Linked DNA regions of Kluyveromyces lactis. The protein of the gene in region 3 binds, or shares a complex with, the protein of the main gene of each other region. Links are inferred from orthologs where the notes say so. Each region holds a gene or a part of one and is shown on either strand. Other genes may lie near its edges. The genes, in order: KGD4, KGD1 and KGD2.

Region 1 (9,402 bases), about 400 kb from region 3:
TAAAGTCTCTGATAGAAGAGCCAAACAATTACCAGCTGTAGGCCTACTCATGGCAGCAGCTTCCGAGTCATTGCCCAAGATCAAAAACGTTCATTTCAGTGAAGGTGGTGTCAGAGAAGGTACTTTATACTCGATTCTTCCAAGGGAGATTAGAGCACAGGATCCACTTGTCATTGCAACCAGACCCTATGCTCCTTTGCTTGTTCACAAATATTTGGAACTATTAAGGACTGCTATACCTACTAAAGAGATTCCAAAGATAGTATACGAAAGAATAGCTCCTGCTCTTTGTAACCTCGCTTTCGTACACGCTTCATATCCAAAGGAACTACAACCGACCGCAGCACTACGTGTAGGTACATCTGGTATCATTGCTGGGTGTCATGGGCTATCTCACAGATCAAGAGCTTTGGTGGGAATAGCATTGTGCAATAGATGGGGTGGAGACATACCAGAACCTGAAGAAGTGTACAAAAAGCTATTGGAAGACATTGCACTAAGAGATGGTGACAAACTAGAACGTGAAAGGACAATATGGTGGACAAAATACATTGGCACTATCATGTATGTCATTTGTGGTGTTCACCCTGGTGGTAACATTGGAGATGGTGTCTTCCATTTCAGCACTTCGGAGAAAGATGAATCGGCTATTGATTTACAGATGCTATCTATAGATGAGAACCTTTCAGGAAACGGCAAGCCAACTCCAACAGGGAACCCGAACAAGAGGATATTCGAAGTTGTTGTCAAGATTAACAGAAACGATCTAAAGACTATTGCTTCTGTGAGGCAAAGAATCATCACGTTGCAAAAGAAAATAAGGAAATTATCCCGTGGTTCCAGCGACAAGGTTAAGATCAATGTAGAATTCTATTGAACACTCAATTGCGATCTCAGTATGTATAGGCTTTATATAGAATGCTCTTTATTTTACTTCCCTCAGCCTCCCTTCCTGTTGAAGATTTAATATCTAATTTACCCTGTTTGTAACAAGCCTCAGACCCTAAAATGTGATATAAATATTCGTGAAAGCGCCATATAGGTAGTGTAGTGCGCTGCTGTGTACTACTATCCGATGGTCGTATCCTCTGTTGATCACTCTGTTTTAGCTGGAAAAATATAGCGTTACCCGCCCTTTAACATTTTACCTTATTAGAACGATTTTGCCACTATCGAATATAAGAGAGACATGCAATTCATAATTAATACATAAGGAGTTCACTTCACGACAGGTTACAATCAACACTAAAGAGTCACCAAGGGTATTTTCTGCGAATCCAATCCATTGAAACACTTTCCAACATGAATCACGATCCATTTGCCTGGGGAAGGCCATCTGACGAACACTATGGCGCGTACAATCATGCCATTGCCCAAGCGTCAAATAATCCAAAGATGAATACTCAGAACCCTATTATTACCGGTACTTCTGTCATCAGTATTAAGTATAATAACGGTGTTATTGTTGCAGCTGATAATCTAGGTGCTTACGGTTCGTTATTACGTTTCACAAACGAGGAGAGATTGATCAAAGTGGGTCCCAACACGGTTGTTGGTGTATCCGGTGACATTTCCGATATGCAATACATTCAACATCTATTAGACGAGATGGAAATTGAAAACAATTACGATAGCGCATATGCGGATAATGAGGAGCAATTGAAACCAAGCTTCGTTTTTGAATATCTATCATCTGTGATGTACCAACGTAGATCCAAGTTAGATCCTTTATGGAATGCGATAATTGTAGGGGGCACAGAAGATGGAAAGCCATTTTTAAGATACGTTAACCTATTAGGTGTCACATACTCTTCGCCAACGTTGGCTACAGGGTTCGGTGCCCACTTGGCATTGCCCCTTTTAAGAAAGCTAGTAGACACCGAAAAGGACGTGGAAAAAGTGAATCTAGATGTTGCTAAGAAAGCTATCCTAGAGGCAATGAAAATATTATACTACCGTGATGCCCGTAGTTCACGTAAGTTTTCATTGGCTATAATCGACAATGAACTGGGGCTCAATATCGAAAAGGACCTACAAGTAGAGAATATGTCTTGGGAATTCGCCAAAGACATCAGAGGATATGGTACCCAAAAGGTATAGGTTTCGGATTTACTTCGTCTTGTCTTCATGCTTTCACTTATCCACGCAGATAATACTTGCACCAAAATACACAATCTCATGCCAACAAAGGAAGAGCAACACATGGTGATCCTGCTCTGGTAATATATACTTTCTTTGTCAATAACGGGAAGACCTCACCTCTTCTGTGTTTTCTCTATAAATGTATACTATGCGTAAATTCTGAATTAGGGCACATATTCACACATAATACACCAAGAAAGAAACTGATCAAAACGGCGTCAATGCTGTCAACTACTGGACAGCCAGCTCAGTCATTATGTCACTAAGATATTTCGAGTGAAGGGACCTGTATATATGAAGGTTATCGTTGGAGTTACCTTTCTTTATTCTTTTACAGTTCCAATTCTTTTAGAAAACAAGTTTAATTCTATATAAACAAGTAGTAACCTAATTGATTAATGAATCATCGACAAAGGAAAGACTAGAGGACTTATAGCGCTAGCCCAGTATACCTATATTCCATACTCTCAAATACAACTGGCTTGTAGGGTAGGCATCTATACGCCAGGAAACAGATTTTTACCGATATCTTGCGATATATTTCCATTCTGGTTTCGAAAGTGAAAAGATGTCTACGTATCCTGGATGCTCATTTGAACTAACTATCTTAGGAAGCTGTGGGGGCCCCCTAAACAATCATACACAGAGTTTCTTGATGAAACGCGCAGGATCGAGTGAATCAGGATATATTTGCATTGATGCGGGGTCCGGACTAGCTGAGATCGCAGATATGATCTACGCACAGGAATACGGTAACACGTTCTTAGTCAAGAGTCTATACAAATCTAGTGCCGAAGACGTTTCACGATTTCTTGCACAAGGGGTACGGTGTACCATTGGGTTTGGTACACCAAGTGAAGTGTTCCTGAAGAAAAGCGCAGAGGCCCACAGCAGCATTATGAGGACCGCTTGTGAAATATTCTCCGAAGTTAGGGAATATTATATCACACATCCGCACCTCGATCATATGATGGGTCTAATACTCAATGCCCCATTAATTTACACCAAACTGGGATCCTATAAGAACGTTTATGGCACAGAACATACCATACAAGCGATAAAAGAACATATATTCAATGATAAGATTTGGCCCGATTTCACCACAGACAACACGATCAGATTAGAAGCACTAGAACCTTCGATTCGCAGGAATACCTATTCAATACAGGGCATTGATTGCATACCGTTTACGTTGAATCATGGTCAAACAATAGATACCAAAGAACCTGTACTGAGCACAGCGTTTCTATTCCATGAGCACCAAACTGATGGACATGTTCTGATTTGTGGTGACACTGAATCAGATCTTGTCTCCAAGACAGACTCTTTACTCAACATATGGACATATCTAGCAGAGAATGTACCCATTAATAACTTGAAGGCCATCGTACTTGAGTGTTCTAACACAGACGAAGTGGATACAAGCAAATTATACGGGCACTTGTGTCCTCAGCATATTATATGGGAATTGAAAAGGCTAATAGAGGTATACGATGTGAAGCCAGAGAATTTTAGCTTGCATGTGATTCTAACACATGTGAAGGATATCGATTCAGAAGAGGATCCCAAAATCACTGTGTTGAAACAGGTAAATAAAAGGTGCAAACAGCAAGGATTAGACAAATATAATATCAGTTTTTCCATGGCGATCCAAGGTTTTACAATGATTCTTTGATATACAGATTAGCGTGATAATTTGAAAAAAATTCATCCTTATCCCATTGCCTGGGCAGGACCAATCACATAGACAAAAGAATGGCAAGGATGTTTGGCACCAAAAGGTTATAGATGTAATAATTAATAGGTAAAAGTAGAATTGTTGTATTAATCATAATAGATAATGGTGTTTTCTAAAAAAAAAAGAATTGTATTCGAAATGGATCGTTTGCTGTTCAATGAGTCGTAGATATTGCAGAACCAAGTGAGTTCGTACAACTATGATAAATAAATGTATTGGTATTATGTTTCTTTAACGATTATGGAAAAATGAGAGGCTGAAAAAAAGGAGATCCTATCATATACCACCTCCGTTAATGATTTCTATCTCTTGTTCGTCCATAGGTCTCAGTTTGAATCTTGGGGGTAATTGTGATATGGATCCAACTTCATTTTCTTCCAAAGGTCTGTTTTTAAACACATATTTTGGTGAATTACCAGCAGCTTTAGTAGAGGAACCCTTACCGGAAGCACTCTTATTTGAGTTCACGTATGGAACCACCTTGAATGGAAGCCATTTCTTTGCGACTTCTTCGACCGTAGAACAACCGGGAGCACCAGGCCTTAGTGAGTCAACGGTACAAGGATGTAAACCAGCATCCGCAGCAGAATGGGTCACTACAGGGTGAGGGCCGCCAACAAACTTGATTGAAGGAACATATTTGACTGCTTTAGCCAAGTTAAGAGTGGAAGCACGCATCTTTACAGGCTTTATAATCTCTTTATTCAAAGTTTCAACACCAGATCCGCGAGCCTTTTTCAATATCTGGGTCACTGATCTCGTTAATCTATCAATGAACGTCACGGTGGATTAATCACTTCTTACAGCAAGTGAATGGTCTAAATAACGATCTTGAATTGCAATACCTTCGGGAATCAAAATCGGATGTATCACAAAATGAGGAAACCTTAACACAAAAGTGGGAAAAAAACCTGGTTACTATTCTTACTTCGACTGTTCAATCAACGATTCACAAGTAACCAACAATTTTATCTGTTAATTGGCAATCTACTCAGTTACAGGAACCTTATAAACCGAGAGCCTTAATAAAACTGATAGAGAGTATGTATATATATATATACATCAAGACCGTTAAAGGTTGGCAAGCATATTGGGATACTTCGAGGAATTAATATATTACCCGGCCATTGTATCGGCCCCGATTGGGAACGCGTAGAGGACGACCGGAAATCCGATTACGTGAGCCACGTGACCACGAGTGTCACGTGACAGAGTGTCACGTCTGTCCCAACCGTTATTCATCTGGATGGTCTAGTGACGCCATGCACTCGATCAAGTTGTTTAAAGTTACAAATATGTTATATGAGGGTGGGGAAAAGGAGCGCCTATTCCCTGCTTACTACATCGTCCCATATTTTGGAACAAATGCTGAGGAAGAGCTTCTTATCCATTTGAGGGTCCGTTGAATCGAAATGGAATTGGAAATTTTCCATCATCAGTTGTATATCGCCTTCTATGACGACGTTGTTGCTATGGTCTTCGATTTCAATGGCATCAAAGAATTCTCTCTTGGTGGATTTAGGTTGTACGCTTAATGGAGCAATTCTTGTAGTTTCATCCTTGAAAACGTCCCTTGTCACTGAATTAGTGGCTCTGATAGGGTTCGACACGAATTGTTCGAAACTACGTTGGGTGTGAGGTGGTGCGGTGGTTGTAGGGTAAGCTGTCATTGGCGCATATTGATGTCTCATCAGGGGACGCGGCACGATGGGTGACGAAGTTTGAAACATCGGAATTTGGCCCGCTAAGTTTCTGGTCAAAGACCGGCCTTTATAAATGACTCTTGGTTTCGACACTCTGCTGGTTCTTTGTGAGAATGTATGTGAACTTGGAATTGGATGTCTTGTTACCATCGGTGGAGCTGACCTTATATTGGGTAATGATCCATTAGGTGTATTTTGCTTTGATTTTAACGTAAGTGGTTTTGGTATGTTATTTCTTTTCAATGATTTGGATTGACTCTTGGAAGTGTTGATTGAAGTCTCGGTACCAGGAGTGGTGGTACCATCTATCGAATTACTTGAGGATGATTTGTCAGTTTCCAGGTCTGAGGCTGTAATATTATTATTATTTTTGATGCTGGTACCAGCTTTCTCAGCAAGTTTCGTGTTTTCATCATCTTGTTCTTGTTCTTGGTCTTCATCCTGTTCATGTTCTTTTTCGTGTTCTTTCTCGTCATCTTGCTCTTCGTCTTGCTCGTTTTCTTGCTCATGCTCGTGTTCATGCTCATCCTCATTTATCGTTACAGAATCCAAATTCATACGCCTGATCTGTCTCTTCTGCTGCATCGCAATGTACTTCGATTTGTTAAACGTTTGCAACCGTTCGTCATCCAAATTAGCAGTCGCTATCCCTGGCGAGATACACTGCAATCCAAGCTTCTGGTACTGCGAATCAGAAATTTCTATACTTGGTGGTGAGGGCATTTGATCTGTCATTGGCATGTTTTCTACTACTTATTTCAGCGCTACTGTCCGGATAAAACACTGAGATGCACAGCTGTCTTATCACAGTACTCAAATCTATCCACCGCTAGTGTATCTCTCGTGTTAGTGTGTTTATATATACCACTAAAGTCACAGAAGACACGAAATGTTTATTATTTATCAGACCCTCACTTAATCTTCAACGGCTATATGTACAGTCCAATTGAATACAAAACCTCTCAGAGATAGCAATCCGTAAATATGCAACTTTGCTTTACCTGCCTTACCTACCGTGACTCTGAGAACACTGTTGCCATCCAGTGTTGCTGTCGTTCACGTTCTTTCAAAGCCTTTAACGGAAATGTTTCACATTTTCTATATAAAGGGACTAAAAAGGAAACTACATTGGGAAGACATTATGGAACGAATGCAAACGGATAAAGAAAGGAGAAAAGGAAAATTTGTGTGCTTAAAGTTCTACCACTACTGCTAGGAATCTCAAACTTGACAATTGTAGTTACAGTGCTGTGCTATCGAACCAAACTAGTTTCATAAGCATCGATTGTGTTTACTTTTTTGAGGTTTTAAGGTAAAGATCCAATTAGTTAATTCTATCAACATTATAGAGAATTCGAAAATGTCACAAGGCACATTGTTTGCGAATTTCCGTATTAGAACCTGGTTACCTCGCGCAATTGTGAAAAGCTTGAGTTTGGACGTTAAGATCTTGGAGCCAGAGAGCAACGTAGAGTACTGGTCTAAGTTGTTCCCATTGAAGAAAGTTCCATGTTACGTTGGTTCTGATGGGTTTAAGTTAACGCAACAGCTTGCAATCTTAGTTTACTTGGTCAACTTGAGCGATAACAATGCTGAGATCCAGCGTCTACTAGGTAAGGGCAACAAGGAAAAAGCTGAGGTGTTGCAATGGCTATCTCTTGCCAATACAGACTTGTGCCTAGCTTTTACTCGCGGTGCATTCCCGTTGAACGGCAGAAGCCCTTACAATAAGAAACAAGTGGATGACGCATATGCAGAATTGGACAGACTTGTCCAAAGGTACGAACAACGTTTGAACGACCACAAGTACCTCGTTGGTGACCGTGCGTCCCTTGCAGATTATTTGAGTGCTATTATTTTCACTAGGATCTTCGAGACTTTGTACGGAAAGAAATGGCGTGAAGAACATGCAAAGTTGACGCAATGGTTCACTAATATCACTGAAGATCCATTCGTGTCTTTCTTATGGGAGGGTATTACACTCTGCGACGAACCATTGCCAAACCCACCAACCAAATGATCGCATTGACAAATTTCAAGTTTATACATCTCTTTATATACATGTCTTCTCTATCAGTAACACTTTGTCTATGAGATAAGCTTCAAAGATCGTCAAGCGAGAAGTTACCTCGAACGAATTAGGTACTAGCCGGTCTATCCGGGAAAAGCAGTCCTATAAGAGATAGAAATTCCGGGACTGTAACAGAATGTAAACATGAAGGGGTTTACGCTGTAATAGCAGTGTTCATTTTCCCACCATGTTGCATATTCGGGATGATTACTCATATTATCGAGATTTCTTTCCATATAAAGAGAGATAAAGATGGAGCAACCACTAGTGGAGAAAAGGGAAAATACAAGATCAGCTTGGAAGAAGTCTACAAACGGTATTTGGGAACAGAAACCAACCGGCAAGGACTGTCTGACTGTCTGCCCTTTCTGCTTGAAACTTCCTGTCTGATTGAATACCACTGCAATGATCGTGACATTAATAGTCATCCTAATCGGCTTGTTGCATTACTTCGTCATATACCCATTGGTCTTCAGTCCATTGAGTTCACTACCTGGGCCGAAACATCTGAAGTTGAGCAGTTGGTTCATATTGAACAAGGCTCGTACGGAACAACGTAATGAATATTTACAAAGATTGCATGAGAAGTACGGGGATCTAGTACAGATAGGTCCGAACGAGGTAGCCTTCAATTCCTTCAAGTACGTGAAACAGATTTACATGGGAAATTTCCCTACAAGAGTTCGAAAACAATGGTGTGGGGTTCTATTCTCAGTTTGGTAACTTCAACACGAGGAACATTTTCAGTACCGGTGATACAAAGACCCATATCCAAAAGAAGAAGAACATTTCGAAAATATACTCCAAGAGTAATGTGATACAAAGCGGCGTTTATATCAGCGCCAAAGTTGATAAAGCATGGATTCAGATAGATAAGAATTGGGGAAACCGATGAACGTGTATTCTTTGTTTTTGGCTCTTGCCTTGGATGTCGTATCTGGGTTTGAATATGGGCCACAGTACAGTACGAATTTCATTACGGATCTGGATCATACCCGTGAGGGGAAAGCTCATCGGAACGAGTTATTCCTAGGGTTCCAAGAGAGTAGTAGCATGTGGTTTTATACAACACTGGCCCCAATGCTATGGGACACTGTAGCAAGATGGTATGGGATTGGTGAGAAATCGGCCAAATCTCAACAATGGATATGGGATAAATTTCAGGAGGCATTAAAACCGTTACAGCAGGGAATCATAGGGTCATCTACCAATGATAACACGATAGTATCACCTGTGGGTAACGTACTATCCACGATGTATGATGAGAAAATCGGAAAGGGACCAATCTCTCAAACACAATTCAGAGAGATAGCAAGTGAAATCGCAGATCATGTGATAGCGGGCCACGAGACTACTGGTATCACCTTGACTTACATATGTTGGGAACTTTCAAGACCTTGTAACAGACACTGGCAAGATAAACTGTTTGAAGAGTGTAAAACAGTACCATCGGATTTACAACGTTTAGACCAAATGCCGATTCTTCACAGTATTGTCCAAGAGGCATGTAGACTCCATTCGGCGATCCCGGGCAGCGAGCCCAGATACGTCCCACAAGAGGGGCCCAAATTCGAAGCTACACTAAGGGATAAACACGGAACCCGTGTAGAAATTCCACCGGGGACCATAGTATCATGCCAACCATGGTCGTTACACCTACTAGAAACACCATTCGGTGCCAATCCAAGACAATTCAATCCGGCAAGATGGTTAAGGGACGAAACAACAGGGGAAACCGAACAAGAGTA
Region 2 (11,338 bases), on a different chromosome or scaffold from region 3:
AGCAGTAGTGAATCTCATCTTTAAATTAGGCTTTTAAAAATTAACAAAGGAGTGTATTGAGTTTCTGTATTGAAAGGAAAATGATTAATTGTTAGTATTAGAGAACGATGTCTTTTGAGGTTAGGGGGGATGGGATGAGTGGGGAATAGACACAATTCCAATCGAATTCGAATCTGTGATTGATACACTGGAAAAGAACGTACAATTGAAGGAAACAGTGAAAGTATTCTGCTTTTCCTTTAATAACTGAATATCAATGTCGCTGGTGCTTTGAAAAAATGAGTAGGATGAAATGTGTTTTATATTTCAACACCGAAACAATTCTCGATAGAAGGAAACTAGATGGTTGAGTTTGTCTCGCTTATAGGCCTCGAGGATCCAGCCTGAAAGGTAAATCAAACATACAATTTGAACAAATATGACTGGTAATTGAAATCACCACTCAATTGCAAACGTATATATAATAAAACCCAACTCCAAACAAAAACCAGGAAACAATAAACGTAACAACCATGTCGTTGTTGGACATCTCAAGAATTTTTTTTGGGAAATCTCAATTAACCACCTTAAAACGAAGCCATTTTCCAGTTAATTTTTCGAGCACCACTTGTGCGAAATCACACACATCATCGCTGTATCTGGTAACAGAAAAGGGAGCGGACCTCAGAAGTATCAAACATGCCAAAGAAATGATGCGGGTCGTGTCTCGAAAATTCACACCGTTTGATTGTGGCACTCTGTTCCGCTGAATTCTCACATCGCACCTTTTCTTGCAGTACCTGTAACTTCCGAATTTGGCAAGTTCGCGAAAATTTAAAGTTTCCTCGAGCTTCGCCTGTTTCACCATTTACGGCATGAAAAGGGAATTTAAGGTTACCCGTATTTCAGATTTAGAAATGAAAAACGAAAAGGCGCAATAGTTTCCGGGTAACGGAAAGAGACGTCTCTTTTCGTTACCCTACCACAGTGCACTTGATTTCGGAATAAAATCTCTGAGGGCTTCGGCCAGGTATTTCTTTGTTAGTCAATGCGAGATTGATTTCTCTCTCAACAAAAAAGAAAAACTGTATGAGGTGAAAAAAGCACTGGCAAAGCCAGTTAATCAAGCTAGTACCGCAAGCAATAAAAATATTCAGTTTCGAATCCGACCCTCTGTGTATCTGAAAAATCTCTATTTGATTCCCATCCGCTTGGATAAATAAAAAAGAAAACTCTGTAGTAAAGAATTACGACATACCTTGTAATGTAGAACAGCGAATGAATAGTCAATCTCGGAGAAAGCGACTTTTACTTTTGCTAAAACGAGGGAAATTCTGCAAGCGTGGGTCTTGTAAGTGACAAATAGATAGTATCTGTACTTAAAAGTGTAATTTCAAAGGAACGTATAGGTTATGGGAAAAAAAACGGGCGCAAAGAAATGAATCAAGCCGTTTTTAATAATAGTCTAAGGAATGTAAAGCAGTTGGATAATAAACAAAATTTGTTGCCCAGTCGCAGTTTGCTGTTTCTAATAGCGTGAATGAGTGTATAGGTTAGTTCTATTGGTGTTTCTTGTGGATAGTTTGAGCTAAAGTAAGTTATGCTCGAAGGCCAAAAAACTAAATCATTCTGTGAAAATCATATTTACATATATATATATATATATATAAATCATATCATGGATACATGATGTTTGCCTCCTAAAACAATGGCAGTACATATTCAATATAAAACAATTCTGGGTAATTTCTGTAACGGAAAGAAAAAAAAATACGCTCGAGCTAGACTTCTGTGAAAAATCTCGGAATTACAGCCATCCCGATGACGCGAGAAGTAATAGCAGTGCAGCTCGTTCTGAGAAAAGCAAGTTAACTTATTATATAATCAACAGAAATTTCAGAAGCTTTCTTTTCGACGTATTACCCGGATTCATACTTCCATCATGTTTGTTTTGTTTTTGTTTTTGTTTGTACTGTGCGGGGTTTTAACTCAATCCAAGCTCTCGCTCAACAGTTATAGCGCCTGTTCTAAGCAAAAATGTATAACATGATTCTATGGTAAACAAACAGACTGCGCATAGTGCAGCTGAATTTACTTCCTAAAAGGAACCTGTTCCCAGCATCTACAAGGGTTATAAGAGAACAGTAAACGAAAAGGAAAGGATTAAGGGGGACGGGATACACTGTTGTTGTTTCAGGAATACCTCCGTGCGCGTTTTTTTGCTTGTTTGTCTTGCTGGGTTTTGAAGTATGGAAGTATGTTTACCGTCTGGATATTTTCATTAAATAGTACGTAAAGAGAATATCATGTACATATATATATATATATATATATATATATATGCATAATAATTGACTGTAAATGGCTCCAATCATATGTTTCAGTCATGTTTGATAGTATTTTCAAGAAGACGTTGACGTTGGCGTTGGCTTTGCAATTGACGTTTATTCAAAACGGAATACGCCGGATACAGTTTGAATTTCTTGCGTAATCCCCATTCTAGCAATGCGTATGGAATCAGTAGCATTAACCATTTCACTACCGTGGCCATCGTTCCCCGGTATATATCCACCGGGTCAATGCTGCCGTTTTCGATATCATTCACCGTTTCTCTTGCGTAATCAGCTGGTGACATCGGTTGATTCTTCTCTGACATCTTCTTACGGGTTTCAACGGCTTTGATACCCTCCGGGAAGTTGAAGATACTACCTTCTGGTAATGTCTTCTTATCAGCGATGTCTGTGGCTACACCTCCTGTAATCATGTTAATGACACGTACGCCCAAAGGACCTAATTCTCCGTGTAACACCCGAGCGTATTGATGAATCGCAGCCTTTGATGCGCTGTACACTGCTCCAAACGGAAATGGACATATCCCAGCTAATGACCCAGTGAAGACGATTGTCCCCTTAGCGTTTATGATTAATGGTGCGAATTCACGACATGAGTTGATGGGTCCATAAACGTTTACTCTGAATGTATTATCGATGATTTCTTCGCTCACGTCTATTGCGGGCAGAGAGCAGCTTTGGCCAGCGTTATTATATAATAGATGTAGCTTCTGATCTGGTAATTCTTGCTCCAACTTCAACTTCAACTGGGTGATATCATTCTGATTCGAAACATCAAGTTTCCTAGGGATGCATCTATCTCCAAACTCGGCTCTTAATTCCTCCATAGGATGTGTTCTTCTGGCACATGCGTACACGTACCACCCTCTCCTCAATAACTCCTTTGTGACTTCATAACCAATCCCTGATGATGCACCAGTGACCAAAGCATATTTTGTCTCACTCATATTGATATGTTTTTGTGCTCTCTATGAATTAGATTATCTTTTACGGTATTCGTAAGGGACTATGCTTAGAGTAGAATGTCGATAAGCTTTGGTGACTTCACTTTTGCTAGTCATCATTAATCCTGTGTTTTGAAGTTTCCAATTTTTATTTGATGATTTTTTTTTTTTTTGCTTGTTATAGTGTATTTCCCTTTTATTTCCTTAAAGAAATGTAATATGAATGGAATTTTTTATACTAATATAATATTACATATTTTTATAAAAATAATAATAAATAAATATCATATTACGCTTACATATGTAAAATGAAATCAAAACTTTCTAACTCCGCAAATTTGAACAAGGAACAAGCAAAGCTAGATCAAGAACTCATATCCTTCAGTGTTTCTGAGATTTCTTAAAATGATGAAGGAAGAATGAATTATGATGAATGATAATTTTCATTGTTTGTTCTATTGATGATTTGATCATTAATTGCTTCATGGAAGTCTGTTTGAAAAATACACATTGGTATTTTTATATATATATATATATAAATATTCTTCATGATAAATTCATAAACGTAGTAGACAGTAGTTAAAGAAATATATTTGAGTTTTGGTTCTTCGAATGCAGAAGCGCAAAAGAATTTTTTCTGAATATGATAAAGCATAACAGTACCGTATCAATAAAAAGTTCTCATGAAGCCATAGCCTTCCCCATAAGGATGACTTTTCATTTTTTTTGTGTTTCGATGAGCTTTTTATGAATAAAAGATAGCAGCCAATAATTTGAAGAGGAAAGAATAAACGCGCAGTAACTAACCTATTGGCCAAAGACTTCCTTCAAGAAAGCTTCTTCTTCGGCGTTGTGCAATGCCTTGGAACCCGCAGCAACGGAACCACTTGGGTTTCTACCAGCATATCTAATAATAGCATCCTTGTATTTGTCAGTTTCCTTCAAGGTAGTTTGCAATCTTGGTTGAGCATATGCCCATCCACCCATGTTTAATGGTTCTTCTTGACACCAAACGATGTCTTCCAAGTTTGGATAGGTGTTTAAGGCATCACGCAATTGAGCGTATGGGAATGGATGTAGTTGTTCAATCTTAATGAATGCAGTGTTCTTGTCTTGGATAGTTTCACGTTTTTTATGCAAAGCAGTGTAAACTTGACCTGACAATAAAACAACTCGCTTAATCTCTTCCTTTGGTGCAATGCTCTTACCTAATTCGACATCTTCTATGATCCATTGGAAGCCACCTTCGGTGAATTCGTTCAAGTTGGATCTAGCCAATGGGTGACGTAACAATTGCTTAGAGAAGAACAATGCCAGTGGCTTACGGAATTGTCTATGTTGTTGTCTTCTTAGGATGTGGAATAAGTTGGCTGGAGTGGTTGGATAAACAATTTGGAAGTTACAATCTTGATGTTGTCTTTGCAACTTTTCTTCACTTGGGAAATATCTTGGATCTTCGTTACCTAGTTGCAAGAATCTCTCCAATCTACCTGAAGAATGCTCTGGACCTTGACCATCGTAACCGTGAGGCAAGGACAAGACTAACCCGGATCTTTGCTTCCATTTCACTTCACCAGCGGCAATGAATTGATCGATGATGACTTGAGCAGTGTTGGCGAAATCACCGAATTGAGCTTCCCAAACAACGAAATAATCTGGGTTAGTCAAAGAGTAACCATACTCGAAACCCATACAACCGTATTCAGACAACGAAGAATTACAGATGGTGAAGTTAGCTTGTTTTTCAGACAAGTGCTTTAATGGAGTGTAAGTATTCTCGGATTTTTGGTCGTGAAGAACAGCATGTCTTTGTGAAAAGGTACCTCTTTCAACATCTTCACCAGAAACTCTGACGTGATTACCTTCCAACACTAAGGAACCGAAAGCTAATGCTTCACCGGTAGACCAGTCAATACCTTCACCGGATTCAACTGCTTTACCTCTGTTGGTTAAAATTCTCTTCAAGTTCTTATGAACTTCGAAGTTCTCTGGCCATGAGGAGATGGTCTTACCAATGTTCTTCAAAGTATCAGCATCAACGACGGTTGGTTCGTGGGATAAGATTTCAGTAGCTAAAGCCTTTGGAGACTTGAAACCTTCCCAAGCAGCAGTTAACCATTCTCTTGAAGTTGGCTTATAGTCCTTTGCCTTCTCATATGCTTCCTCGAATAGACCCCAAACCCATTTCTTATGTTCATCGATATCTTGCTTGGTGAAGGAACCTTCAGATACCAACTTTTCCGTGTAAACGTCAATGACAGATTTTTGCTTAGAAATCTTTTGGTACATTAATGGTTGTGTGAAGGAAGGTTGGTCAGTTTCATTATGACCATGCTTTCTCCATCCGACGACGTCAATAATGGCATCAGTGTGGAAAGTAGCTCTCCATTCAGCAGCCAAGTTGAAAATGAATGTAAGAGCTTCAACATCGTTGGCATTTACATGGAAGATAGGAGCATCAATGGTTTTACCCAAATCAGATGGGTATAGAGTTGATCTAGCGAATCTTGGATCAGTAGTGAAACCGATTTGGTTGTTTGTGATAACGTGAATGGTACCACCAGTAGAGTATGCTGGCAAATGTAGGAAACCCATGGTTTCGTAAACGATACCTTGAGCAGCGAAAGCAGCATCACCGTGCAATAGGACGCTGATGGCCTTGTCATACTTGCCAATATCGTTCTTAGAGAACTGGATGGCTCTAGTTCTACCCAAAACAACAGGATCAGCGGCTTCCAAATGAGATGGGTTAGCAACCAAAGACAAGTTAACGTATTTACCAGAGGTAGTTGGTCTTTGGTAATTCATACCCAAATGATATTTCACATCACCGGAACCCTCGTATTCTTCTGGAGCAACAGAACCCTTAAATTCTGAGAAGATGGATTCGTTTGGTTTACGCACCACATTAGACAAAACGTTTAATCTACCACGATGAGCCATACCCAAGACAACATCTTCAACACCTAATTCAACGGAACGGTCAATCAAGGTCTTGATACCAGGAACAACACCTTCTAAACCTTCCAAACCGAATCTCTTATCGTTAGGGAATTTAGTAGATAAGAAAGTTTCAAAAGAAGTAGCCCAAGTCAGTCTATCCAAAATTTGTCTCTTTTGGTCTACGGTATAATTATAAGGTTGTGGGATTTCAATTCTTTCTCTTAACCATTCACATTGTTCTTTTGAAGGGATATGAATGTATTCGATACCGTATCCAGAACAGTACAATTTTTCCAAAGCAGCAATAATTTCTCTTAGTTTCATGGTCTTTCTACCATCACGAGAGAAACGTGGCAAGATACCGGGTCCCAATGTGATATCTCTATCTAGATCCTTTTCTGTGAATCCATAGTGTTCCAAAGTCAACTCACGAGGTAGAGGTTTACTCTTATCATCACCAAATGAAATTTGTAACGGATCAATATGAGCCTTCTGGTGACCTCTTACTTGGTAAGCACGGCACAAAAGTTGCACTTTTAAATGTGTTGTGATGTCTTGGTCAACGCCACTTAACGAACCCCCTATCAATATATCTTGAGGCACACCAGGACCCGTTGGTATTGGAATTAATGTTGGTGGGGCGGTGAAGGCAGAAGAGGCTGGAATATTCAGATTACCCATGTTCTTGAAATAAGCATCCCAAGAGACATGAACTGAAGTGGGATCCTTTTGCCAAGCTTCGTACATCTCATCGATATATGATGCATTGGTGGTGGACAGGAAGTTGTCCGTCGAAGATGCACCACTAGCCAATCCACGACTGAAAACAGCCAAGGAAGTCGGTTTGCTTACAGCACCGATCCTGGTGAATTTAGAAGCATGTAACAAACGCTGAGATGACCTTATAGTTCTCAACATTGTTCAAAAGACAGTTATTTTTTGTTCTTTTCTGTATAACGAAAGAAGCAAAACACAAACCTTAAATCAATAGATGGTCGCTTTGTTCTGTACGTGTGTTGTAAAATTGATATATCCAGTTATCAAGTAAAAAAATCCCTTGCAATTCACAAAATGTTGAACTTTTCAACGATGATTAACTTTCAATGAATCTTTCTCGTTTATATCTTCTTTTGTTTTTATTTTTTTATGGCTCTTCTTTGTGAATTTTCAATCCAAAATTACTCACAAAAAAAGGGAACAAAAGAAGAAGTACTTGATAGTAGTAGAGTCAGAAACTAAGACGACAACAGGCAAAAACTTCGATTCAAAATTGACTGTTTTTGTTAACGTTCCTAATTAATTGAAAAAAAGAGATATCCTACTTGCGAACACGAAGTTGAAATAAAGCTTCTTCAATCTTTTTTTTCTTGTCGGAAGATCTTGAAAAAATACCCCCGATTTTTTTAATTTCCCGTTCTCTTTCACTTAAATAAGCAGTGAAATTAATGTATAAATCCTGTATCTTTTATACTTTTTAGCCGATAAAAAACAGAAATACCAACAAAAAAACTAAATTAGAGTAAGCAGAACTCAAACAGTGCCAGAGAGTCGAGTATTGCGTTTACTAGACGAGTTTAATTTAACAGGCAAATAATAAACTCCGTTATTATTTTCCTTCTGTCTCCTATCTTAATTGTATTAAGGCAGGCCTCTTGAATCTTGAAAATAATAAATACCTCTTCTATAAAAATAGTAAGAACCAGTATTTATATAGGAAATAGTAGATGCACTATATATATTCACGATTTTGTGTGAAAAAAAAGCACTCATTCAACTATTAAATGGACCACCAATATCTCTCTCGTGCCATTTCCCCGGTTTTGATCCTCACTCCCATTTTCTTTCTTTCTTCGAATCGGTACTGATACCTTTAATGCCTGTAGCTCTCTAGCAGCTTTATGTGGTTTTTGCATAAGGTTTCCTTGCTACATGGTGGAACAAACAAGTGTTTTAGTGCCGCTTACTCAGTTTTCAACAATACGAGAATGCCAGATAGTAAAAGCTGTAGGGCATGGTCTGCGAGTAGGGGTCCGGTGACCCGTTTTCGGATTCGAAGACGGGAAACTACCAGATTCATTTTGTGGGACAGCCCGGAATTCCGGGTAACGTTTCAACATTTTCTTTTCAGTATTCCATATTCAGATAAGTACTATGCAACTCCGTGCCAGACTGGCTGATGGGTTTTAAAGTGTAAGCAAAGGCTGAGTGCGGTTGACGGTATGTGGTGTACGGACATTCGTCAACCCAACTCGGTCGCGAGAAATTCTTTGCTGTCACTTGACCATTGCTTGATTATCACTTGGTTCAAGATGTTTCAATCAATCTTCGTTCGATACTTCCAATACTACTACTCTCAAGGTTAAGCTACACTAGACTACAGGTTTTTGAGGCTCAACTCATCTTCGGAAATTTTATAGTTGAAAACTCCAGGCAATTGTTATGATTAAGAAGGAAAAGAATCAGTGATTTAACATCAAAAAGAATTGAGGAAACGTAAAGTGGCTCTATATTGAATCGAGCTCTAGCAACGTTTCCCCCTATCGTATTCTTCCGATACTTGATTATCGGAAGATGGCAAAGAGAAAGACAAAGTACATAATCTGAATCTATCTACTTATATAGAACATCCACCTCTGAGGGGAGAACGTCTTCCTCGCTAGTGTACAGTAACGTGTCAAAAGTATCCGAAATTTTGGTTCGCTTATTCTTCTTCTTCGATCAGACCCTTTTCAGAGACATAGATACCATCCAAGAATTTACGAATATCCTTGTTTCTAACACGACAGATTTGTTGGATGTCAGCAGCGTTTTGGGAAACGTTTTCAACAGAGTTACCAGACAAGACGATTTCGTCCTTTTGGTTGGTAGAGAAGTCAACAGAAACACCTTCTCTGACTGGAACTTCTCTGACCTTCTTGTCACCCAAGAAGTTTCTGATTTCGATGAACTTAGCACCGTCCTTTTCAATGACGTTAACGTTGATTGGGAAATGCGCGTAAACGTATCTCAACTTGTACTTGTAACCCTTGGTGACACCAGTGATCAAGTTAGAAATCAAAGACTTAACAGTTCTCAAAGCAGCAACGTGCTTTCTGTCACCGTTGTGGACGGTGATCTTAATTTGTCTGTTAGAGACCTTGGTGAAGGTAACATCGATGTGCTTCAAGTTCTTAGTCAAGACACCTCTTGGTCCAGTAACCTTGATTATTCTGGATCTGATTTGAACGGTAACACCTTCTGGGACATCTAGGACTTGGTCAGTTTGAATGTACTTCATTTTTGGTTATGTGTCGTTTGCTTTGGTTGGTTGAGCAAAGTTATACAGTAGAATTGAACAGTACCGTACTACTGCTGTGAAAGTTGTAAGTTGAAAAATATGGCTTTCCGTATTCTGATTATATATCACCAGAGTCTGGACAGCTTTTTTTCATTTGAAAATTTTTTCAAAAGGGAAATTTAATTTGCGTCGTAATTCAAAACAGAAGTAAAGAAAACAGTCCCAATATGTTGTGTGAGACGTGTGGGTGTTATGAAGGTGCATATATTTGGTGTTTTACGATATTATGTATTTGCATGTCGTCAGTTATTGATTCAAATACTTTGAGCTATATACATATCGTCTTTAAGTACTCTGTATATATCGTCAGGTTTTTCAAAAGAATTTATTAAAGGTAATACGTGGAATTCACTACATTTTATAAGCAGTCTGTTTCTTTCCCCTATTATGTGTTCGTTTTTAACGTAATTTTACAATCTTGCCAGTAGCGTTTTTGGGGGTTCATTACTCATTCTTCGAGAACCAGTCAATCGCAAATTCTTCCAAGGCTTCTGCGTCATTGAAGACCCAGGAACCCTCTTCATTGTAAAGCTTAGCGTTATTGAACATGGTCTCCAAGTCCGACTTTACTTCGTTGATAGATTGGTATTGTTTCTTGTTCAACTTCTTTGTTATCGTCTCTAATGCTACTGGCTTCTCAATAACCTTGTAGTAGTCCGGATACTCCTTCCTTGAAGGTAATCTTTCGAAAATGAAAGTTCTTGAATGCTCATCCGTTGGATCAGTTAACTCTCTTAGTAAAGCCAATAGTGCCTCGACTTTATCTTTTAAAGGTGGTTCTTCTTTGCGTTTGGTGGGAGCGTCATCTTTTTTCATGTTAAGCTTGAGTTTGATCTTCTTTTTTAAAGGTCCTGCATCTTGTTTTACCGGTTTCGCTTCTTTCTCTTCACCCAATTCCGACTCCTCTTCAGGAGTAGTCGAAGGAGTAGCGACAACCTTTCTCCTAGAACGAGTTCTACCATTTTCACGAGCAGGAGTTACGGCTTGCTCAGCAGATATTACAGTATTGGATGTTGAGGAAGATTCTTCAGGCTCAACGCTATTTTCTAGACTTTCCAATCCTAATTGTTTTCTTTGACGTTTTTCACGAGCAGCTCTTTGACGTTCAATGGTTTCATCTAAGTCCTCATCATTATCGACAGCTTGTAACCATTGTTCCTCTGTTAAACCATCATCGTAATAGACTCTCTTTCTTTCTCTGATTCTGCCAATAGCAGCAGGCTCAACATTCAAATGGTCAGTGATATCTTCAGTGAATACTGAAGGTAACTCTTCCTTGGTGATCAACCTCGGCAGTGGCTTTCTCAAACCTAAATCGATGGCTTCTCTCTTCTCATTAGCTACACGTTCTTCATCAATCTTTTTGAACAGCACTTTCTCGTCTTCAGTACGTGCGAGAATTTCATTTAATTCTTCGTCGTCTAATTCACCAGAATATTCATCGTCTTTGTTAGTATCACCTTCCAATAATCTACGCAAAAATTCTTCTTGTTCTTCAGCAGTAGATTTATTGTCAAATTTACCGGCTTGAATAACTTTACCATCAATATCCAATTTTTGCATTGCTCTCTCTAGAATAACTTCTTCGACGGAATCGGTTGTTATTAATCTCAAAATACGAACTTCGTTCTTCTGCCCAATTCTGTGAGCTCTATCTTGGGCTTGTAAATCCTGATGAGGATTCCAATCAGTATCGAAAATAATGACCGTATCAGCAGTCTGCAAATTTAGACCTAACCCACCAGCTCTGGTAGAAAGTAAAAAGCAGAAGTACTCAGAATCGG
Region 3 (10,371 bases):
AAAAATGACTATATGAACAATACACTGGAGAATGTGGGGAAAATAGTTGGTGTTTTACATAATAAATCATGAATAAGTCGTCGTAATTCAGAATCGGCTTGAAATCAAAGTATGAGTATAATGTTTGTTTAGAATATCATGACTGGAATTGGTATCAGCTTGATAGTATAAATGCATTATACTTCACATATCTTGCAAATCAGAAAGCCCGATTTTTTTTTTAGATATCCTTTTGTTGTTTTCTTTTGTCTTGTATTGTTGATTAGCCTACTTTTCTTCTTTTTTTCTTCAAGTCCGTTTGCCAATATCTGGAAACAGTCATAGAGCTGAGGAATACGCATATATGTAACCATTGTTAGATAAAGAATACTTCTCTCTCCCTCACATATATTGCAGAAGGTGAATGGATACATTTGCATGAGTGCAGAGCGGGAGTTTCTGTGATGCCAAAAAAAAAAGAAGAACAATATCTATAAAGATGGAGAACTCTTTAAATCAAATTTAAGCCAAAAGCATCTTTCTTGGATCTTCAATCAATTCCTTGACAGTTCTCAAGAAAGTAACAGCCTCTCTACCATCCAACAACCTATGGTCATAAGTCAAAGCCAAGTACATCATTGGTCTAGAGACGATTTGACCATTAACAGTGACAGGTCTTTCCTTAACACCGTGCAAACCTAAAACAGCCGTTTGTGGCATGTTAATGATTGGGGTACCGTACAATGAACCGAAGACACCACCGTTAGAGATGGTGAAAGTACCACCAGCCATATCTTCCAAAGTCAACTTACCATCTCTGGCCTTCTTACCCAATCTGACAATTTCTTGTTCAATTTCTAAAACAGACAATGATTCAGCGTTACGAACCACTGGGGTAACCAAACCCTTTGGAGTAGCGACAGCGATAGAGATATCGGTGTAATCACGGTAAAGGATTTGATCTCCGGAGATAGCACCATTTACAGCTGGAATATCCTTAGCGGCCAAAGTACAAGCCTTAGAGAAAAGACCCATGAAACCGAATTTAACGTTCTTAGTCTTGATGATTTCATCTTTGTATAATTTTCTCATTTCCAAGACAGCGGACATGTCAACTTCGTTGAAAGTGGTCAAAGAAGCAGCAGTGTTTTGAGATTCCTTTAATCTTTCAGCGATTCTCATTCTCATACGGTTCATCTTGACCTTATGTTCGTTACGGGAGAATTGAGTGAAAGATGGGGTAGAGGATTCAGTAGCAGATGAGTCAACTTCAGTCTTCTTTGGAGCAGCAGCGGCTGGTTTTTCCTCCTTCTTTGGAGCTGGAGCAGCGGCCTTTTCTTCCTTCTTTGGAGTGGCTGGTTGCTCTTCCTTCTTAGGAGCAGCCTGTTGTTGCTGTTCTTCAGCAGCAGGTGCAGAAGCGGAAGAGGACTCTGAAGCGGCAGCACCGCCAGCAGGAGCTTCACCTGGCTCAATTTGAGCAATCTCTTCACCAACGGTAACAGTATCATCTGGAGAGAAGTTCAACTTCGCAATGGTACCGGAGATAGGAGAAATGACTTCGACGTCGATCTTATCGGTTTCGATAGTAGCCAACAGTTCGTCCTTTTCGATGAAATCTCCGACTTTCTTAGTGTATTCCTTCAAAGAACCTTCAGTCAACGATTCAGCCATAGGAGGAACCGGCACAGAAGTAGCATGACGAACTGCCATGAATCTAGTGTTCAACTGAGAAGGGGAACAACGGAATTGGAATGGACCAGAAGAACGACGACTCACGGCGTTAAAAGATCCATTTCTTGAAGAGATATCGGAAGAAATTCGGCTTGAACTAAAACTTCTAACCGCTTCTAATTGTGAAACAGTAGCACAACGAACCAAAGGCTTGTGCAAAGCAGATTTAACTGCAACTCTAGTAGAACTCCTTAACATTGTTGGAATGGGACAAAACCAAAAGTGAAAAAGGATAATATATTATATTATAATCTGTGTTTGTAGATACACTCCGAGACCTGAGTATATTTCCGAATGTTATTTCTGAAGAGTAAATGGATTCAACTGACTTGAATACCTTTGCTCTATATTTGGTTTAGAAACAAAATTATCAAATGTGATAATTTATGATGATTATGATTCAAAAGAAAGAAAGAAGGAAAAATTTGGTACGAATTCAAAAAGGTTCCTTATTTTCTCAACAGGAATCAGAAAAAAGTATCTGTCTTTCTATTTAATTCAAACTGTAGTCAAAATTAGCTCAAAAACGGACCGTTTTATAAATCCTGGGGTTAAACATTCAATGTTTAAAGGCAACCTTTCAAAGAATTGAACTTTATTATCATTATTATATATATAATATATATATAATAATGGCGAAAGTGCATACAGTAGGTAATTAAAATGTGCTTACTCAAAAAACTTGGAAAATAGGGCCCTTTGGCGGAGCCAATTACCGGAATACCAGCTCGTATGAAGTGATATGACGGAGACTCGGCGCCGACCAGAACAGAAGAGCAGAGAGCACAAAGAAAGACTAAATAATCCGGTCCGGATCGTTAAGAGTGAGTGATGAAGGACGGGAGGATTGGATTTAATTGCACCGAAGGGGTCGCTCCGGGAGTCGAACTGAGGCCATAAAAAGTAAGAAGAGTTCCGGGAATAAGGAATAAGTAATAACAAGTCACGTGTAGAGTACGTTCGTATTACATTCGTATTACCCCGACTAACCCTGTTTTATTTCGTGCAATGCATGAAAAAATATCGCGTTTTCTCGATTTCTCACTGCTTCTATGCAATTTGAGGTTCATCTCTATAATTGTATTTACTATTCTTGATTTGGAATCATGCTGGCATTTATCATTATGTATCCCAAACTCTATTTCTCTCTATTTCTCTCTCTCTCTATATATATAGTACGTGTTAGTGTGTTACTGTACCAACGTATGTTTATGAGTGGCCTTGCGGTGCGTCAATTGGAAAGGACTGCTGATATACCAGGTGACTGGTATACTTGTAAGATATAGACAGAGAATTCAATAGCAAACCTCTCTTTCCTGATGCATGATGAGTTGGAAAAAGCTGGTAGGCATTTGCTGATGGTGAACGATCATTTGTCTGAAGATTCAGTGGAACAGGGTGATATTTGCATGACTCAGGTTCCTACTATGTTCAGCGATGATGAGGATCAAGATGAGGAGCAGGAGACTGAGATTCCACCGGAGGAAGGTGATGATGATATTCTGATCTCTACTCAAGTCCAAGGTGCCATAGATGAACTGAACCACCAGGAGACTGTGGTGCACACCTTCCGCAATGTTCTGTCAAGATTTGCGCTGGAAACACAAGATCAAGCGGATATTCCACTGGTGTCTTCCAAAAAAGTGCCAGTCAAGAAAGTGATAAAATCCTCAAAGGTCAAGCAGCCGACAGCACGATTGCAGAAAAGAATCAAGAGTATTACCCAGTTCAATACAGATAATTGGGAATCAAATAGAGTGAAGGATAGGGCTCAGAAGATGATTTCGATTCTTTCGGGTAAATCTGCCAAGGTTAAAAAATTGGTGTCGAAATTGGACTCGGAGGCATCTGCAGATGCGGAAAGTTTACAGGATTCTCATCCGACACAATTTGCGCCCTTTAATGAATCAGAATGGCAACATATCGTTGGCCTCCTACGAGAAAAATTACCAAAAGTTTCTAGAAGCGAGCTAAACTCGGTACAGCAATACGTATACGGTGCTGATGAACAGCACAATCTTTGGAAAGCGTCTCAGTTATCCCCAGAAAAGCAGATATCTTCTCAGTGCTCAGATGGAGAGTCTGAGACTATTCTTCCAAGTTTAACGTTGGATAACAATGCGCCTGTGTATACGTTGTCTCAACTTGTCGAAGGAGAAAGCAGTAATAACCGGTGCTCAACGGAAGATGGATTGAGGTTCAAACCGATCTCGAACCCAAGCTCTGTCATCGAACAGGAACTACCAATTAGCATAGACGTGCCTTCATCTGAGACGGATGTACCGTCTCAGATAGCCGATTCATGCGATAGCGGGTCTATCATTAGCTTTGAAGAGCTGAGTTTCATGATTCAAGACAAGAACAAGGCAGACGTCGATTACGATATACCATGCTATTTACCACCAGATTCCAAGACTTTACCCACTGGTGAGAAAACGAAAAGGGAATATTCCAGGGCAAACATAAACGATCAACTGATAAACATATCACAAACGTCTTACGATGTAGTGTCCTCCATCGTATCTCCAATGAAGGCCCAAAGAACCGGGACTATTCAGGTGCCCGCAACGAGAACTACTACCTTTCAAGACCAACAACAACAGAATCAGCAACAAGCTTCAAAACCTGCTAATGTCGTCAAGATATATGTTGATAGCAATAGGGACTCTAATGACGTTTTCGCCAGTGTTAAGGGGGAGGTAGATACGCAAGAGCAAGAAAGTTTGTCTACTTTAACTACTTCTATGTTGCATGATGATAATAACGAAATTGTTATAGATAGCGAAGATGAAAGAGGTAGCTATTCCATTATGGAGGTTCATGATGCTCCTCAAACTCATCTTGGCCAGTTCCCCTCTCTACGGAAATCTCAATCTCAAAAATTGAAAACCCCAGTTTCAGCCACAGATTCTCTAGATTCACAACTTCAGCCTGCCCTACTCACAACACAAAATGCATCTCCGAACACCGCGAAGCTACGAAGGTCTTTCAAGGTGATCGGATTAAAACCTTGTAAGAACAAAGTTCAGATGTTGCAAGTATGGGAGACATTGGAATCCAAATTCCCGGGGTCCTCAGATGAGGATAGATCAATTCAACTCAAGCAATTCCTCACGGACCTTATAGTACAAAATCGTGATGAATCTGCATTATTAATGGAACAAATATACACTTTTGAGCCTATTCGTTACGAACAGTTGAAAGAATGGCTAGTATCCTTGAACTCATTCACTGAACTAATCGACGATAGTTTTATCAAAAATTGGGCAGATTTAAACGGGATTGTATTCAGAAATGATACTGAGAACCCCTTGTTGTCACAAAGCCAATCTCAATCTCAATCACGGTTGCTCTCACAATCATTATCCCAACTGCAGTCGCCATCATTGTCTCCATAGTATGTTAGCATCCATGTGTATAATTATCAGCATTTTTTTTTCAATAGAAGCCCAAATACATGGCGTCAAAGGAACATAATAGACTCTCAATGAATACATTGGTCTGACTGCCTATTCAAAACATATACCGAATGTGAGCAAGGCTCTATCAAAGCAAGACAAGGCGAGTCAATAGCTGCATTGTTTATTGAGAAATCCGGGTAACGTTATGCAGTCAAAACAGCTCATCAAAAATTGTCAGTTTCTTTCAGATCGAACGATTCTATAAACAAAACAAACAAAACATAATCGAAAAGGAAATTGGAATCTACGCTCAGTAATCTTTGAAGCATATAGCACTGAAGTCCTTAAACTTTAGCACTGTCCTTCGGTTTTTATTCAGAACGGCAACAATTGAGTGATTTCGGGCAATTTGGAGAAGTGCGCCCCAGAAGCGACAGTAAAATCCCAGGAAATATGTCAGGAAAGGGATCTTCGCAGTCTGATAAACGGTCCAGCCGAGATGAATTGAAGTTTAAATTGAACAGGTTGCAGGAACAACAAAAACATCAAGAAGCTCTTTCTCATGTTAATTCTGAGGACCCCAGTTTACCATTTTCCAATGTCTTGAGTAAGAGAGATAATAGGGCTTCGTTACCTGTTTTTGCAGGAAGCTCTGCTCATGCAGGTGTCATAAATGCCAATTCAGGCGAGGATGTGAACTTTGTTGTTGGTTTAAGCGAGAACTTACTCGTCGAATGCAGACGCTTACAAGCACAGAACGAACGTAAGTCCGCCAAATTATCCTCTTTGCAGGCCGACTATGAAAAGTTGAAAATAAATCTTGAGCGGTTAACAGTGAAGCATGAATCTATGACCAAAAATGAGGATTCTTTAAAGGACACTAATTGGCGACAAGAAATGAAATTGCAAAGTTTATCTAAGGAGTTCCAAGAGTTGACTGAAAACTTCAATAAAAATAAAAGTGAACTTGAAAGGCAGATTGAGCTTTCTAAGGATATGAAAACTGAACTGGAGGAAAGTTCTTTGGAACGTATGGGATTAAAGTCCGAATTGGCTTCTAGTAAAAAAGTTCATTCGAATGAAATTAAGGAGCTGAAAAGACATGTGGAAGAGTTGAACAATGAGAATGATCAGCTGCATAATAAAGTTAACATGTTGAGTGAGAAGGTCACTTCATTAACAAAAGAAATAGAAGAGAGGAAAGGCACCTCTGCACAGGGCAAAGACGATACTGCGATTGCTACATCAGAACAAAAACCATCACCTGCCGTAAAACTGATCGGAGGAGGTATGGAGGGTTCCGATGATAGTTCCTTGAAGAAACCGATTGATTCAAATCTAGAAAATCAGACCTTAAAAGCCAACTTAAATCATGCTAATCAGTTAATTGTAAGATTAAAGCAGAAGCTCAACAGAGTCAAGGCTGACAGCACCATGAACTCTCCATTACCTTCAAAGTCTCCCAGAGGTAAGAATAAAGGCGGTTTATCTTTTATAGGATCTGCTTCTACTCCTCAAAAGTCCAATACTTCCAGCTTCAATTACGAAGTTACAGATAATGAATCAGGTGACTGGAATGTAATACCATCGCCTGGCAAGTCAAGTAATGCTGATATCAGTGATATTGACGCTGAAAGTTTTGTTTCGGAAACTATGGACTATGTGAGAGACCCCATTTCGGAGGGCCCCTTTGAACATGATGAAGACTTTATTAATGAACTTGACTATGAAGATATAGAAAGATACGCAAAAACGCACAATTTCGCACTTGTCCCAATTACTGAACTAGATGAATTAAAAAAATCGAAAACTCCTAGCACAATCTCAGATGACACATTATCAAAGCATATTCTTTCCAGACTTTCTACGCTAGGGTATTTTGATACTTCTAGTTTAACAAATAATGAGAAAGTGGATATAGAAGAGATTTTTAAGCATCCCACTGAGGATTATCTAGTTTCGAATCTGAAGAGGCTCAACCTCACTGCTATCAAAGAAGAAGAGTACCAATCATTGAATGATCCATCGATGGAAACTTTGAAAAAATCATTAGAAAGTAAAGACTACACTGCGTTAAGTAAAAAGGACTATGAGAATTTGCTTCATGCTTCCGAAAGTCCGTCCCTGTCATATCTCGAGAGTAAGGCTCACAAGCTTCAAAAAACCATTATCGACATTGATGAGTATGAAAATTTGAGGAAACCGGATGTTGAGGCATTAACAAACCATGCCCAGTCCAGAGGACTTCAGGTATTGAAACAGTCACAATTGACTGATATAAAAGCTAAATTGGAAAGCCCGTCTGAAGAATATTTGCAGGCCAAAGCAGATGCAAAAGGATTAACTGTACTAACGAAGAGTAAATTGTCCCAACTCACTGAACCAAGTATCGAAGACGTCCAACAGTTAGCTACCACTCACGACCATATTTTAATATCTAACAAAGATTACCATGAGCTACTGAATCCTTCTATCGATAAAGTGGAAAAAATTGCTGCAAATCACAAACTCTCGGTAATACCTGATAAGGATCTAATTGATCTGAAATGCAAAGCTGAAAGTCCAGATATTAATAGGTTGAAAGAATGTGCTAAGTCAAAAGATCATGTTCTTCTTCCAAATGAGGAGCACACCAGACTAATGCATGGAAACACTCATCCTTCAATTGAAGCTATTCAATCATCGCTTTCTAGTGACGATATGGAGTCTTTATTGCTGTGGTTGGCGGAAAGAAAGTCCATAACACCTATACGCACCACTGAGTATCACAAATTAACAGAACTAGCTAATACTCCTCCACTGGATCATCTAAAGAAAGCTGCCAAAGCTTTAGATTACACCTTGCTCAGTCAAGCTGAAATAGAGAACCTAAGAAACTTAGCTCAAAATCCTCCCTTTGAACACCTGAAAGATAAACTACTAGCTCTCAATTATACTATTATCAAACAGGAGGACCTTCATAAGTTGAAGGAACAGCTAGAATCTCCAACTTTGAACTTTTTATCGGAAAAGGCAGCAGAGAAAAACTATGATATAATCCTAAAGACTGACCACTCAGAGCTTTTGAGAAAGTCATCAGACCCGACCATCCAAGAAATGCAGCACTTGGCAGCTGTAACTGGCCACTTGATTGTATCGCAGAGTGACTACGATTATTTGAATAAGACCGTAAATGAACCATCAAGAAACTTCATCATTGAAAAGGCAAAGGATATCGGTATGGTTACTATCGAACAGAAAGAGTATGAAAAGTTAGTTCATAAGGGCAGTGATAAAACAATGTTACTCGAATCTATTAAGAATTTTGGATTTGTTCCAGTCACTGCGCCAGATTTCAATTCCTTTAAACAAAAGTCAATCGACAATGTTGACATCGACCAATTAACTAACAGATTGGAAACATTGGGTTACGTTGCAGTTTCAAAAGAAGGATACTCAAAATTAATGGCTCCCGTTATAGATAAAGTAACTAAAGATGAAACTTTTAAACTCTGTGACAAATACAATCTAAAGCCTGTTGCTGCTGAAGCATACCAGAAATTACAGGAAAGCTCGAAAGTTGCACTACTTTCAGAGGATGAATTGATTAAGAAAGTCAAGGAACATGGTCATGTGGTCTTAGATAGTAAGTCTTACGAAGATTTGATAAACAAATCAAACAATCCACAACTAAAAGATTTATCCAGACACCTCTCAACCTATAAAATGGTTCCCGTACAGCTGAACGAATATGAAAATCTAATGGCTATGAAAGACTCTCCCTCATTGACGTTTTTGAAGGAGAAGGCTAAACTTCATCATCAAACTATGTTACCATTCGATGAACTGGAGGGCTTGAAATCGAAATTAGAGCACCCATCTAGAGAATATTTAGAAAACATGGCTGGAACTCTTGGACTCGCCCTGTTACCAATTGAATCTATTGAAGAGCTCAAGACCTCATATGAAAATCCTTCTATTGCACACTTATCAAATAGGGCAAGCAATATTGGCAAACGTTTGATCGATCAACAGAAATATGACAATTTGCAAAGAAAAACAAACGAACCTACGGTGAAAGAAGTGGAACAACTGGCTGCTAGAATTGAATGCAAGGTTCTACCAACTGTCGAGTACGAAGAGCTACAGCTCGCAATCAATAACCCTTCAATCAAAAGATCAAAGGAGGTTTGCGACATCAATGGGTATAGCGTAGTTCCCACGAAAAAGTTCAATGAACTTCAACTTAACTTGACTAGTCCATCTTTAGAATTCTTGCAAGAAAAAGCGCAGCAACACAAACAAGTTTTACTACCGATTGAAGAACATAATAAGTTACAAATGTCAGCAGTTACTGACGAGCAGGGTTTACAGAGAAGTGCGAGAAGTCTCGGACTTGTAGTTGTTCCGGAAGCTGATTATGATTCTTTGTCCAATCCTTCCCTGCACATCCTACAAAAGCAAATAACAGAAAAAGGTCATGTGGTACTTGATGCTGAGACCTACAAAAGTCTCAATTCCTCAAATGTTGATTCAATTTCCAAACAGGAGGTGATAGGTCTGTGTTCAAAGTTCGATTTGATTCCTCTACCTGAAAAACACTATAAGGAGTTAACAGTTCCTTCGATAGAGAAAGTAAAACAGCTAGTCGAACCATTAGCGCTAACTGTTATTGACCGTGAGGAATTGGCTTTCTTGAAGACCCAAGTTGATAATCCATCTGAAGAATCAGTTGTAGCGACCGCGCCAAAATACGGGTACAAGCTCCTGGGTGACAAGGAATATGAGAATTTACAAAACGAGGCCAAAAAACTCTCTTCTCTCACCAAAATTGATATTGAAAAACTTGCAGCGAAATTGGGTCTTGTTGTTCTTAGTGAAGAATCATACGATGCTCTTATTGAAAAACTGAAAAAAGAGGTTGAAGTTTCTTCAATGTCACCAAGATCGAAAGTCGCAGCAAGCAAGCTATATTTCGAAAATGTTATCAAGAAAGAGAATTCAAATAAAGAGGTGGTATTAGAATCAGGAAAGTTATTAGGATTTGTAAGACTTTCAAACGATGAGTACAAAAGGCTTCTCGAGAATCAACAAAAGCACGAATTAACAAAGACGGATATTTATAATGGGGCAAAAGCCTTTGATCTCACTGTTCTTCCCTCCGAAGAATATAATAACTTATTACAAAGAAAGGCGCATAGTGATAATATTACATATGACGATTTACAGTTGTATGCTTCACGTTTTGCTTTGAAGTTGGTCCCTGTTAATTTCACAGATG

The links.
Region 1: KGD2 (region 3) and KGD4 share a complex: the UniProt entries of both Saccharomyces cerevisiae proteins name them as parts of the 2-oxoglutarate dehydrogenase complex. The link is inferred for Kluyveromyces lactis from reciprocal best matches to the Saccharomyces cerevisiae genes KGD2 and KGD4.
Region 2: KGD2 (region 3) and KGD1 share a complex: the UniProt entries of both Saccharomyces cerevisiae proteins name them as parts of the 2-oxoglutarate dehydrogenase complex. The link is inferred for Kluyveromyces lactis from reciprocal best matches to the Saccharomyces cerevisiae genes KGD2 and KGD1.

The regions. Positions count from the first base shown.
Region 1 is NC_006040.1:986,542-995,943, forward strand, and holds KGD4 (alpha-ketoglutarate dehydrogenase subunit KGD4), read right to left. Parts: upstream 4,559-9,402; coding exon 4,157-4,558; downstream 1-4,156. Other genes in the region: RTG2 (Rtg2p), read left to right, coding at 1-877; PRE4 (proteasome core particle subunit beta 7), read left to right, coding at 1,303-2,100; 3',5'-cyclic-nucleotide phosphodiesterase PDE1, read left to right, coding at 2,711-3,817; DIG1 (Dig1p), read right to left, coding at 5,206-6,324; CAM1 (translation elongation factor EF1B gamma), read left to right, coding at 6,944-7,603; KLLA0_D11638g (uncharacterized protein), read left to right, coding at 8,546-9,402. UniProt on the Saccharomyces cerevisiae protein: Molecular adapter that is necessary to a form a stable 2-oxoglutarate dehydrogenase enzyme complex (OGDC).
Region 2 is NC_006042.1:425,651-436,988, forward strand, and holds KGD1 (alpha-ketoglutarate dehydrogenase KGD1), read right to left. Parts: upstream 7,136-11,338; coding exon 4,082-7,135; downstream 1-4,081. Other genes in the region: putative glucosidase SIM1, read right to left, coding at 1-18; AYR1 (acylglycerone-phosphate reductase), read right to left, coding at 2,360-3,277; RPL9B (60S ribosomal protein uL6), read right to left, coding at 8,919-9,494; RSC chromatin remodeling complex ATPase subunit STH1, read right to left, coding at 9,999-11,338. UniProt on the Saccharomyces cerevisiae protein: The 2-oxoglutarate dehydrogenase complex catalyzes the overall conversion of 2-oxoglutarate to succinyl-CoA and CO(2).
Region 3 is NC_006040.1:1,394,349-1,404,719, forward strand, and holds KGD2 (dihydrolipoyl transsuccinylase), read right to left. Parts: upstream 1,909-10,371; coding exon 502-1,908; downstream 1-501. Other genes in the region: SLX4 (Slx4p), read left to right, coding at 3,030-5,108; NUM1 (Num1p), read left to right, coding at 5,565-10,371. UniProt on the Saccharomyces cerevisiae protein: The 2-oxoglutarate dehydrogenase complex catalyzes the overall conversion of 2-oxoglutarate to succinyl-CoA and CO(2).